Linked DNA regions of Arabidopsis thaliana. The protein of the gene in region 2 interacts with the protein of the main gene of each other region in a pairwise test. Each region holds a gene or a part of one and is shown on either strand. Other genes may lie near its edges.

The links.
Region 1: the proteins of NF-YB12 (region 2) and NF-YC11 interact in a two-hybrid assay, tested with the Arabidopsis thaliana proteins (one study listed by BioGRID).

What each region holds. Positions count from the first base shown.
Region 1 is NC_003074.8:3,955,802-3,961,078, reverse strand, and holds NF-YC11 (nuclear factor Y, subunit C11), read right to left. Parts: upstream 3,317-5,277; 5' UTR 3,015-3,316; coding exon 2,982-3,014; intron 2,245-2,981; coding exon 2,172-2,244; intron 2,081-2,171; coding exon 1,987-2,080; intron 1,669-1,986; coding exon 1,534-1,668; intron 1,446-1,533; coding exon 1,388-1,445; intron 1,290-1,387; coding exon 801-1,289; 3' UTR 607-800; downstream 1-606. Other genes in the region: CYSB (cystatin B), read left to right, coding at 1-133, 419-556; AT3G12470 (Polynucleotidyl transferase, ribonuclease H-like superfamily protein), read left to right, coding at 4,294-4,956.
Region 2 is NC_003076.8:2,634,126-2,638,083, reverse strand, and holds NF-YB12 (nuclear factor Y, subunit B12), read right to left. Parts: upstream 2,253-3,958; 5' UTR 1,991-2,252; intron 1,891-1,990; 5' UTR 1,881-1,890; coding exon 1,826-1,880; intron 1,657-1,825; coding exon 1,567-1,656; intron 1,474-1,566; coding exon 1,379-1,473; intron 1,297-1,378; coding exon 1,228-1,296; intron 1,142-1,227; coding exon 959-1,141; 3' UTR 651-958; downstream 1-650.

The DNA.
Region 1 (5,277 bases), on a different chromosome or scaffold from region 2:
TGGATGGAGGGAAGTTCCCGGAGATGATCCAGAAGTGAAGCATGTTGCTGAGCAGGCTGTCAAGACCATTCAGCAGAGGTCTAACTCCTTGTTCCCTTATGAACTTCTGGAGGTTGTGCATGCTAAAGCTGAGGTATGGCTTTAATTTACTATATACTCTATCTTCGATCTTAATTGCACAAAATGAATTTCAATAGAGAACTTGTCAGATTTTGACAATGTTTTTGCATGAATTTCATCTGAGAAATTGCAAATAAACGAAATCAAGTGTCAGTGAAACCGAATGGTGTTGAAGTTTTAGAAGTAGAAAAGACTTTAAGCAACATATTGGTTCTCCTTGGTATGAGGACTAACGTCTGAGTTGTAATAGTTGGTGATTACAAGATTAATGAGCTTAATATTAAAAACATGGACACAGGTAACCGGCGAGGCTGCAAAATACAACATGCTACTGAAGTTGAAGAGGGGAGAAAAAGAGGAAAAGTTCAAGGTGGAAGTTCACAAGAACCATGAAGGTGCTCTTCATCTCAACCACGCGGAGCAACACCATGACTAGTCCCTCTCCTTTGTTTATGTACTTTTGAGTGTTTACTTACTCTGTAAGATATTTTAACTTCTGATGTAAAACTCTAAAACCTTAAATAACAAATCAGGAGAATAAATTAAGTTTCATAGAGTGCATGCAATCTTTGGTTCATACAATAAATGGAAACAGGAGAAGATTTTGATGACAGAAGAAGCATTTTCTAGACAAACTGCTAAACGCTGCTACTCTATATATCCTATAGTGCTGTTATGACTTAGCCTTCTTCGTCATAATCTTCCTCATCCTCGTCTATCCTCTTACCCAGACTAGCAAGCTGTGCTGGATCCATTTTGCTTATGTCCATCATAGGCCAGCCCGAATACTCCTCAGAGTCTGTTGCTGCAGTTGTGGTTGTGGTTGTGCCTGTGGCTGGTGCCAGTTTGGTCTCGTTTAGGTCGAGGGATTCAGCGTTGAGATCAAAGTCAATGCCTTCTTTGGGACTTTGAAGGTGTTGCTTGGTGTCTTCGTTCGATGCTGCTGTGCCGTCGATGCCTTTCTTCTCATCCTCTTGTGGTGATGACTCTGACGCATGCATCTTGACATTGTCTTCTGGTGGTGGCTGTCCAGAATTGGCGGCTTCTACTTCCATCTCGCGGTTGAGACCCTCTCTTTCGGCTGCTTTTGCAGCTCGTCCACCACGACCTCTTCCTCGCCCTCTTCCTCTACCACCCCTGCCACTGGTCTTAGCACTCCCTATCTCTTGCTGCAGTGATTACCAATATATTCAATGAATCTAAGGAGCTGGGAATAGACACCAAATGAATGATGAAGTATAATATTTCAAGAAGAACACGAGCTCACCGTTTTGCTTTTCTTATATTCCTCGTCACTGTCATTCACTTCATCGCTGATGGGCTTCCTGTTTTGATAAACCATCTCACATCAGCTTGACACGGACTATAAACAAAGAACTAGAACATATGGAACTAAGAGATCAAACATCCAACCTTCTCTTGGAGATGCTGCGATCATCCATGGTAACATCACCATGTCCTTGCCCTTGGGAATGGCCATAGTCAGGCACCTTACTCACAACTTCCCTCAGAAAATCAAACACGTTATATCTTTCCACACAATGTTTTCTGTAAACAACAAAGCACTTTGATAAACATGGATGAGCAAAAATAAGAACTTTATCCCAAATTTGTGGTATAAAATTCTGTAACAGTAAACAACATCCTCTCGGTGTTGGATGCAGTGAAAATAGGCCCTATGAGTTGGAAGCTATTCCGCTTAACAACATCATGTTAACTCTTAAACCACAATATCAATAATTACAACATCTGAAAGCTCTAGAATTTAAAATGCATTCAAGTGAAACCTTTCATGCTCTTTAGATAATGACGATGCTAGCATGCAGAGTTAAAGCAAAAATAAAGGTAAACCAATCTGTTACTTACAGGTGCAATGAGCTCACAGTCTTGGCACCTCTTTCAAGGGTAATTTCATATGTACGATCACAAAGGTCTTGCAAGAACAACTCCAAAGATTTTGCTGTAATAAGAGAACATGAAATTTAGCCAAAGGGTAAAGTTTCCAATAATTCTCTTTTCAAACTGAAGTCAATGATAGCAAGATGACTTACAGACTAAGACAGGCACTGCCAAAGCTATCTTGCCAACATCCTCATCAGCTTGCATAATCTTTTTAATACGAGCCTGAAAAATTGTAATATATGCATCAAATGAAGAAACAGCAACCATCACACAGTGTGTGTGGCAATAATTACAGACTACTAAACGAATTATAAAGCAAATGGTAGAACTGAGAAACACCAAGCACGCTCTGTACAATCACCAATCAGATTATACAAACAAAAATATATTAACAAATTAAATGGAAAGTCAAAATCTGTGAAAAACTAATATTCTAGCCTCAGCTCAAACAAAATAAACCACCATCAACAATAACCAACTTATGAAATCATCTGACGTTTTATTCAATAAAGCTAAACAAAATCTAGCTAGCCAAATTGGAAGCTCTACAAAAAGTTCCAAGCCTATGAAAAAACAATTCGTGTATAACATCCCTGCTTCAATCAACACTATCTAACCAATAGCTGACTGGTTTGTTGATAAAGAACACGTTTCGAGCACTAGTCACCTAAATTCTCGAATTCTCTAATTTACATGAAACATTCCATAGCGGATCTTCATAACACATATTACTATAGCTATATAACAAGCACAACAAAAATTAGGGTGAAATTGACTACTAGGTCATTTGCTAAAACTAATTCGCCAGAAATGAGATACTTAATCTAATTTTCATCGTAGAACACTAATCTAATCCCAAATAGTGTTGGAAATTCGATCTGAAAAACAACAGATCAAAGTAATTTCCGAGAAATTGGACTTCAATTTCAGAAATGATCAATTAGAGACGAAAAACTTACAGCTGGGAACCGAGTATCGAGCTTCTTCCTCATGGTTTTGAAATCCCCAAATCCAGAAATCGTCGAATGAGAAAACGCAAAGCCACCAAAAATAAGAAGGAAAAAAAGGTAAACCCGACCCTTGAGATCAAAAATTGAGGGACGCGAATCTTCTGTACATATACTCCGTTCTAAGATCAGAAAGTAAGTTTCTTCGTCTTCTACTTCATGGATATGCACTATCAGATCCGGCGACGGCGGTTTCCTTGTTACAATCTCCGTGCGATGGAAAAATTAAAATTAAATATATATAATCAAATTAAAGTTTTGGGTCAAAGAAAAAAAATGGGTCGACGACATGGTTATTTAATTAAGTAATGTTAGTTATAAATATACGGCGGAGCACAAAATATAATCGGATTGTTTGAAAAGATCTAACCATACACGTGGCTATGTATTAGTGGATTGTATACGTTTTCTCGTGACAGTATTAATTCTTAGATCTTCATCCACCTTCTCTATTTTTTATTTATTGGATTTTGTTTGAGGATAATGCATCCTTGTAAGTTGTAACACATATGCCTGAACCAAAAAATATGTTTTGGGTTACTTTTTTTTATCACAATTTAAATAAAATAAAGTTAGAATTATTTGTCTTCAAGTTGAATTTAGATACTTATAAACCAAACTGTCGAATTTTAGAAAAAAAAAACAGAAACCACCTTTATTATAAAGTGTGATAAAACAAAGTGGCCTATGTATCCAAAGTTCCAAACAAAATGTTGTGGAATTTATATTTACAACTTTTTTATTTTTTCAGAAGTTATATTTAAAGTTACAAAATTTTGTCAAACCAATATATAGGAAAAAATATCAAGAGTAATTGCGTCATAGCGTTATACGTTGAAAGTTAACTTCATCAGTAATTATGATTTTACATCAGTGAATCATTGTTCGTGAAAAAAACACACAAAAAAAGGTTATGGTTATCTACCTAATTAAGCCCCCAAATAACTGAATAAACTATTTTAGTAAAAAGAAGTACGTAAAAAAGTATTATATTCCATGTCTTCATCAAACCTTTATGGAAATAAAAATAAAAATTCAGAGCCGTAAAATACAGTAATTAGTAAATGTTTTGCGTATACATCTATGATAGGCCTGACGATGTGACAGTACATGCATCTCCATTGTCAACCGTACGATTAAAACTACAAAGATCGACGGTGATTATAACTAGAAACAAAAATGTACCCTATAACAAGAAAAAGAAACCGCTTCTCTTTCTAACACTCGCTCAAAAATTTAGAGAAAGGAAGAAGAAGACAGATCAATGGCTCCGACGATCAAAAGAATCAGAAGTTTCCGTACTCACCAAAAACACTTTGTCGATTTTTTCGGAGACGACTTGATCGTCACCGTTACGCCGACTGCTTCCGTTATCCGCCGCTGGATTCGTAGCGTCCGCTCCTACAACCGTAATCACTCGGTACATCCTCTCGTCGTTGGAATCGGTGTTCAGTGGAGACCGGATAGTTCCGATCCAGATCCACCACCAAAAACTCTCCAGTTGTGCGTCGGTAGTCGCTGTCTCATCATCCAACTAGGTTACAATTACGGTCTCCCAAAAGTCCTCCGCACTTTCCTTGCCGATCCCAAAACGACTTTCGTCGGCGTTTGGAACGGCCAAGACCAGAAAAAACTCGAGAAATGTAGGCATCGAGTGGAGATCGGGAAGCTTCTGGACATAAGGATGTTCGTGAGAGATTCGAGAGGGGCTAGGATGTGTTTTTGTTCGTTTGAACAGATCGTGAAGGAGCGTTTGGGTCGCGTAGGAGTGAGGTTAGATCCGGCGATTTGTATGAGCGATTGGGGCGTTTATAACCTTAACCATTATCAGGTACTTCAGGCGTCGATTGAGTCGTATGTTTGCTTTAAGCTCGCTGTTGAGGAACGTCTCTGGAACTTAAAAGTTGCTGCTAATCTTGTGATTTGAATTTGTTGTTGTTCTTCTCTCTTTATCAATCAACGTCTTCTTCTAATTCATGAAAGTTTTCATGTTATCGTATTTTGTGACTATGAATGTTGACTGGAAAATTAGTACATGTAGACTACGTTTGTAATAAAGGCATTGATATTAAAAGACTATCTAACGTTTTGATTAAAAACAAATACGCTTTGATGAATTATATTATCAATTTTGTTTAATTTGACATGGGACAAAAAAAATCACGACGTACCAAATTGGTCAATCAAATGTTTTTGCACCCAGTTAAATGATTTCCGATTTTTAAACTGGATATAACCTCAAGCAAGA
Region 2 (3,958 bases):
AGAGATCTCTGTGCTCCTCTCTCGTCGCAGCGGTGGAATTGGAGTTATACCATAATTTTTATTTAATGACGCTTAAAAAGAGAAACAAAGCAAAACTAATTCGTATTGTAATTAATTATTGCATTATTAAGACTAAGCTTTGCAAATTAAATCGAGCTGAAACAGCAAAAATTTATTTAATTAATTGATGACAGAAATGGGTGAAATCAGATCTTTATAAAAGTTTTAAGTAATTTTTTTTCTAGAAGAATAATTATAATATTAAAAAAATAAAAGTGCTCGATACATTTTTACAAATGAAGTCGAAAATATTGTGAGATTCTGATTACGTAGAAATAATTATCTACTTATAAAAATTATTAGATTACTTATTACTGGATAAAATAAAAAACTTTGAAAGGCAGAAAACGAAGTGTGTGTGTTTGACAAAGAAGAAGTCCGCAAAATGTCGGCGAGAGAGTTAAATCCATTCTTCTTTGCCTAACCAAAATTACTCTTAACTAATAAATTAAACAGTTGATTAGACATCCAAGAGTGGTCCAACTCCTCTCCTCTAGCCCTTGGTTTAATTCCATGGTTTGGGAAAAGAAACCGGGTAAGTTTCTCCGGTTTAGATGCTTCAATGTTGAAGCCGTACAAAGGAATCCAGATTTGGTGATCAGACTAGAAATGGATTCAAGACTTCAGAATTATGAAGTTACACATAATTTAAGGGGATTTGGATTCGAATGACACTAGTTGCTAAGATTCAATAAAAACCTTACTAATTACATCTGAATCACCTAAGTGATTTTAGATTCAAAGAAAGGGGAAAAAACACAACCCTAAGTTAAAAAATGTAAAGAGCATATCAACACCAAGACGCGACGAATTTTGCACTTTACAGAGATATTGCTAGAAAGAAAAAGAAGTCAAAAGGATAATGTTAAAATAAGGGATTCCTTTGCGGTTTTGTTGATTAGCTTTGTAGACTTGTTTGTTGTTGTTGTTGGGGTTCTTCTAGTTGCTCTGGTTGAGGAACTGTAACACCTCCATTCATTCTTGCTCGAGCTTCTGCAAACATCCTCTGTTGTTCCGCTGCCGCCTCTTCTTCCGTCATCTCTGCTCCGCTATTCATCTTCACACTTCTCTGCGAATCCTGCTGCAGAATTGGCAATAACACAAATGATACTGATTATAATTTCATTCAAGTCTGGATCTTATTGTGAGCTAGGAGATGATGGTTACCATGGTTTCATATTTATGTTGCTCATACGCGGCATAAACTTCTTCTACGTATTCCCCAAAGCCAAGAACCTGTGTTTAACAAAATCAAGATTACAAAACATGTATATATTTCACATAGATGTATCAGACTGAGCTGAATGTAACACCAAACCTGTAAAGCTTTGAGTACGTGCTCAGGGGCTATTGTTCGTTTATCCTCTTTGTTACACACTTCATTCGACTCCGACGATATAAGATTTATGAACTCTACAATAAACAAATTTGAACATCATAAGTAATGAAATAAGCAAATTTGAAACAATGTTCGCATTCATAAATCTCAAGACTAATAATCATTACCTACACAACACTCAATCAATAGATCTTGAGCATCTCTAGCAACACGAACATCTGCGGGTAACATCTCCTTTATAATTTTCGTCATGGTAGCTGAAAGAACAAACATATTTTTTATCAGACAAAAATACAGAGTCATTGCATTGAGTAACCTGAAGCCATAGCTAGAGCTAGATTTACAAAATCTTTCAATTTAACCAAGAAATTGACAGAACCAAAAATTAAGTAGTAGATCGATCCAAAGAAGGAAACGAGACCGAACCTTTCGGAAGCGAAGCATCTTCCTTTGATTTTCCAACTATATCCATCGGATCCATAGTTTTAAATCTACATGATCAGAATTCAAAAGGAAAATCAGATTACCGGAAGATCTAGACCGCGAAGTTATAAGATGAAGAACAAAGGAGAAAACAGAGATAGACTTTACCGAGTTTAACACGGATCGAAACAGAGGCAGATCAACGACGGAGATCCGGTGAGTTAACAGACTCTCGAGACAGATTCACGGCGAGATCGGAGACGTGCAGTCGTACGGAATCTTATCGGCGGATTTTCTCTCTCCTTTTTCGGTTTCTCTACGCAGAAGTCGATTAGGGCAAAAAAACATAAGACCAGAAGTAAGTGCGTGACTTTCACTTTTGCCTTAAAGTGATTGACGGCGCGTAAGATCTAATTTCGTTATTTTTTAAGACAAATGAAATGGGCTTTTTACCGAACATTACATATGTAGGCTTGCTTGCAGCAGACACGACCCATTTCAGCCCAAGTTTTTTTTTTTTTTTTTGGTTTTGAACAAATCATCCGCTTTTTAGTCCACTGGTTAATCAGAGAAATTAGGGGATGTATTGAATTTTGAAGTATTTTGTAAGAGTTTGATTTATTTCCAACTCCATGTCATTCTTCTTTTTAGTATGTTATTCATGTTACATGTTATTCAAATATGATTTTTAAAATGTCTTCCTAAATCTTATGATATTCAAATTCAATAACTATGTTACTACAATTTTTTCTTGGACAAATATGTTATGAGACTTTTAGATACATTTTAGTTATAAATATGAATCAAATACATTTTAGTTCTAGAAGAAAAAACCAGATCTATAAAGTTTGTTATTAAAAGATAGAGAGAGAGGAGGGATGTAGTAGGCCAATAGGCAAATCAGAGAATCACAAATGGTATCTGGTCAAGAAGATTCCTGGTTAAAACTTTCATCTCTCTGTTTCCTTTTTCTTTCTTTGTTGGATTCATTAATTTGACATATCTCTATCATCACACTGATTCTCTTTCTCCCAGTTTGTCTGCAGATGCATGTGTGTAATCTAGGGTATATGTTTTTGTCCATTTGGTTTCATAAGGCAATAAAGATCCAGCTATTTACTACTTGTGGTATAGATTTTGACTGTTGAATTTTCAGATCTGATGTGTTTCGTTTGATCCGATTCGGAAAATTTATGTTTCGTTGACATTTTGGAGTTTAGTTGGAAGAAGAGTGAGAGTCGCTGGAGGCAGCGGTTCATCGATCTCTTCCTGTGAACACATTAAAAATGTAAAAGCATGAATAGATCGATAAACCTCTGCATCCAGCGTTTGCCTCTTGTATCTTTCTTATTGACTTGAATCTTTTTGTTTATTGGTTTTTGAAAGAAGAAAAAAGTGAGGGAAAACAGAGTCAAGTCCGATTACTTTTCTGGGAAAGCTGAGGATTTTGTGTTCTTAGAGAGCAGATGAAGAGGTGACTGTTGTTTCTGGTGAGAATTCGACCTCTTTAGTTTGTTTGTTTTTTCAGTTAATGAAGTGCTTGTTATTGAAGTGTGTAGTTGACTGATAAGCGCCTTAGCTTTATCTTAATGTTTATCAAGTAGATTTGGCGTTGGATAATTAAAAAGAAGTTCAGATTCTTGTAGGTTGCTTACTTCGTCTGACCAAACAATGTTCCTGAAAAAGTGTTGTGTTTTGTTTCATGTATCAAAAAGTCTAGCTTCAAAATTTTCTTGCTTTTTTCCAACATGCAAGATTTCTCTTTATAAATCGGTACATTTGTAGGTACAAATCGGTACAAATTTGCCATTGTATAAATCGGTACAAATTTTCCTGTGTTCTTGTAACAATGCCCTTTATACATTTGTAGGTGAGATAGAAGTTGGCATCTAAATTTGCTTTCTCTGGACCAGTGAAATCAATTGCAGTCTCCTATATATTGTAGTAGGCGATGTATCAGTGGTGAAGCGAGGATGACATCTGTGGGTACTTGTTCTTAATCCTTCACTCTGATATCTATGCTTTAGAAGCGTTTCAAGTTCATGAAGCTGATTTGATGTTGAGTTTTTAACAACAAGAATCAATTCACTCCAAAAATATGTAAACTCTGCCATGCCTTGAGCTGCTTTTTGGATT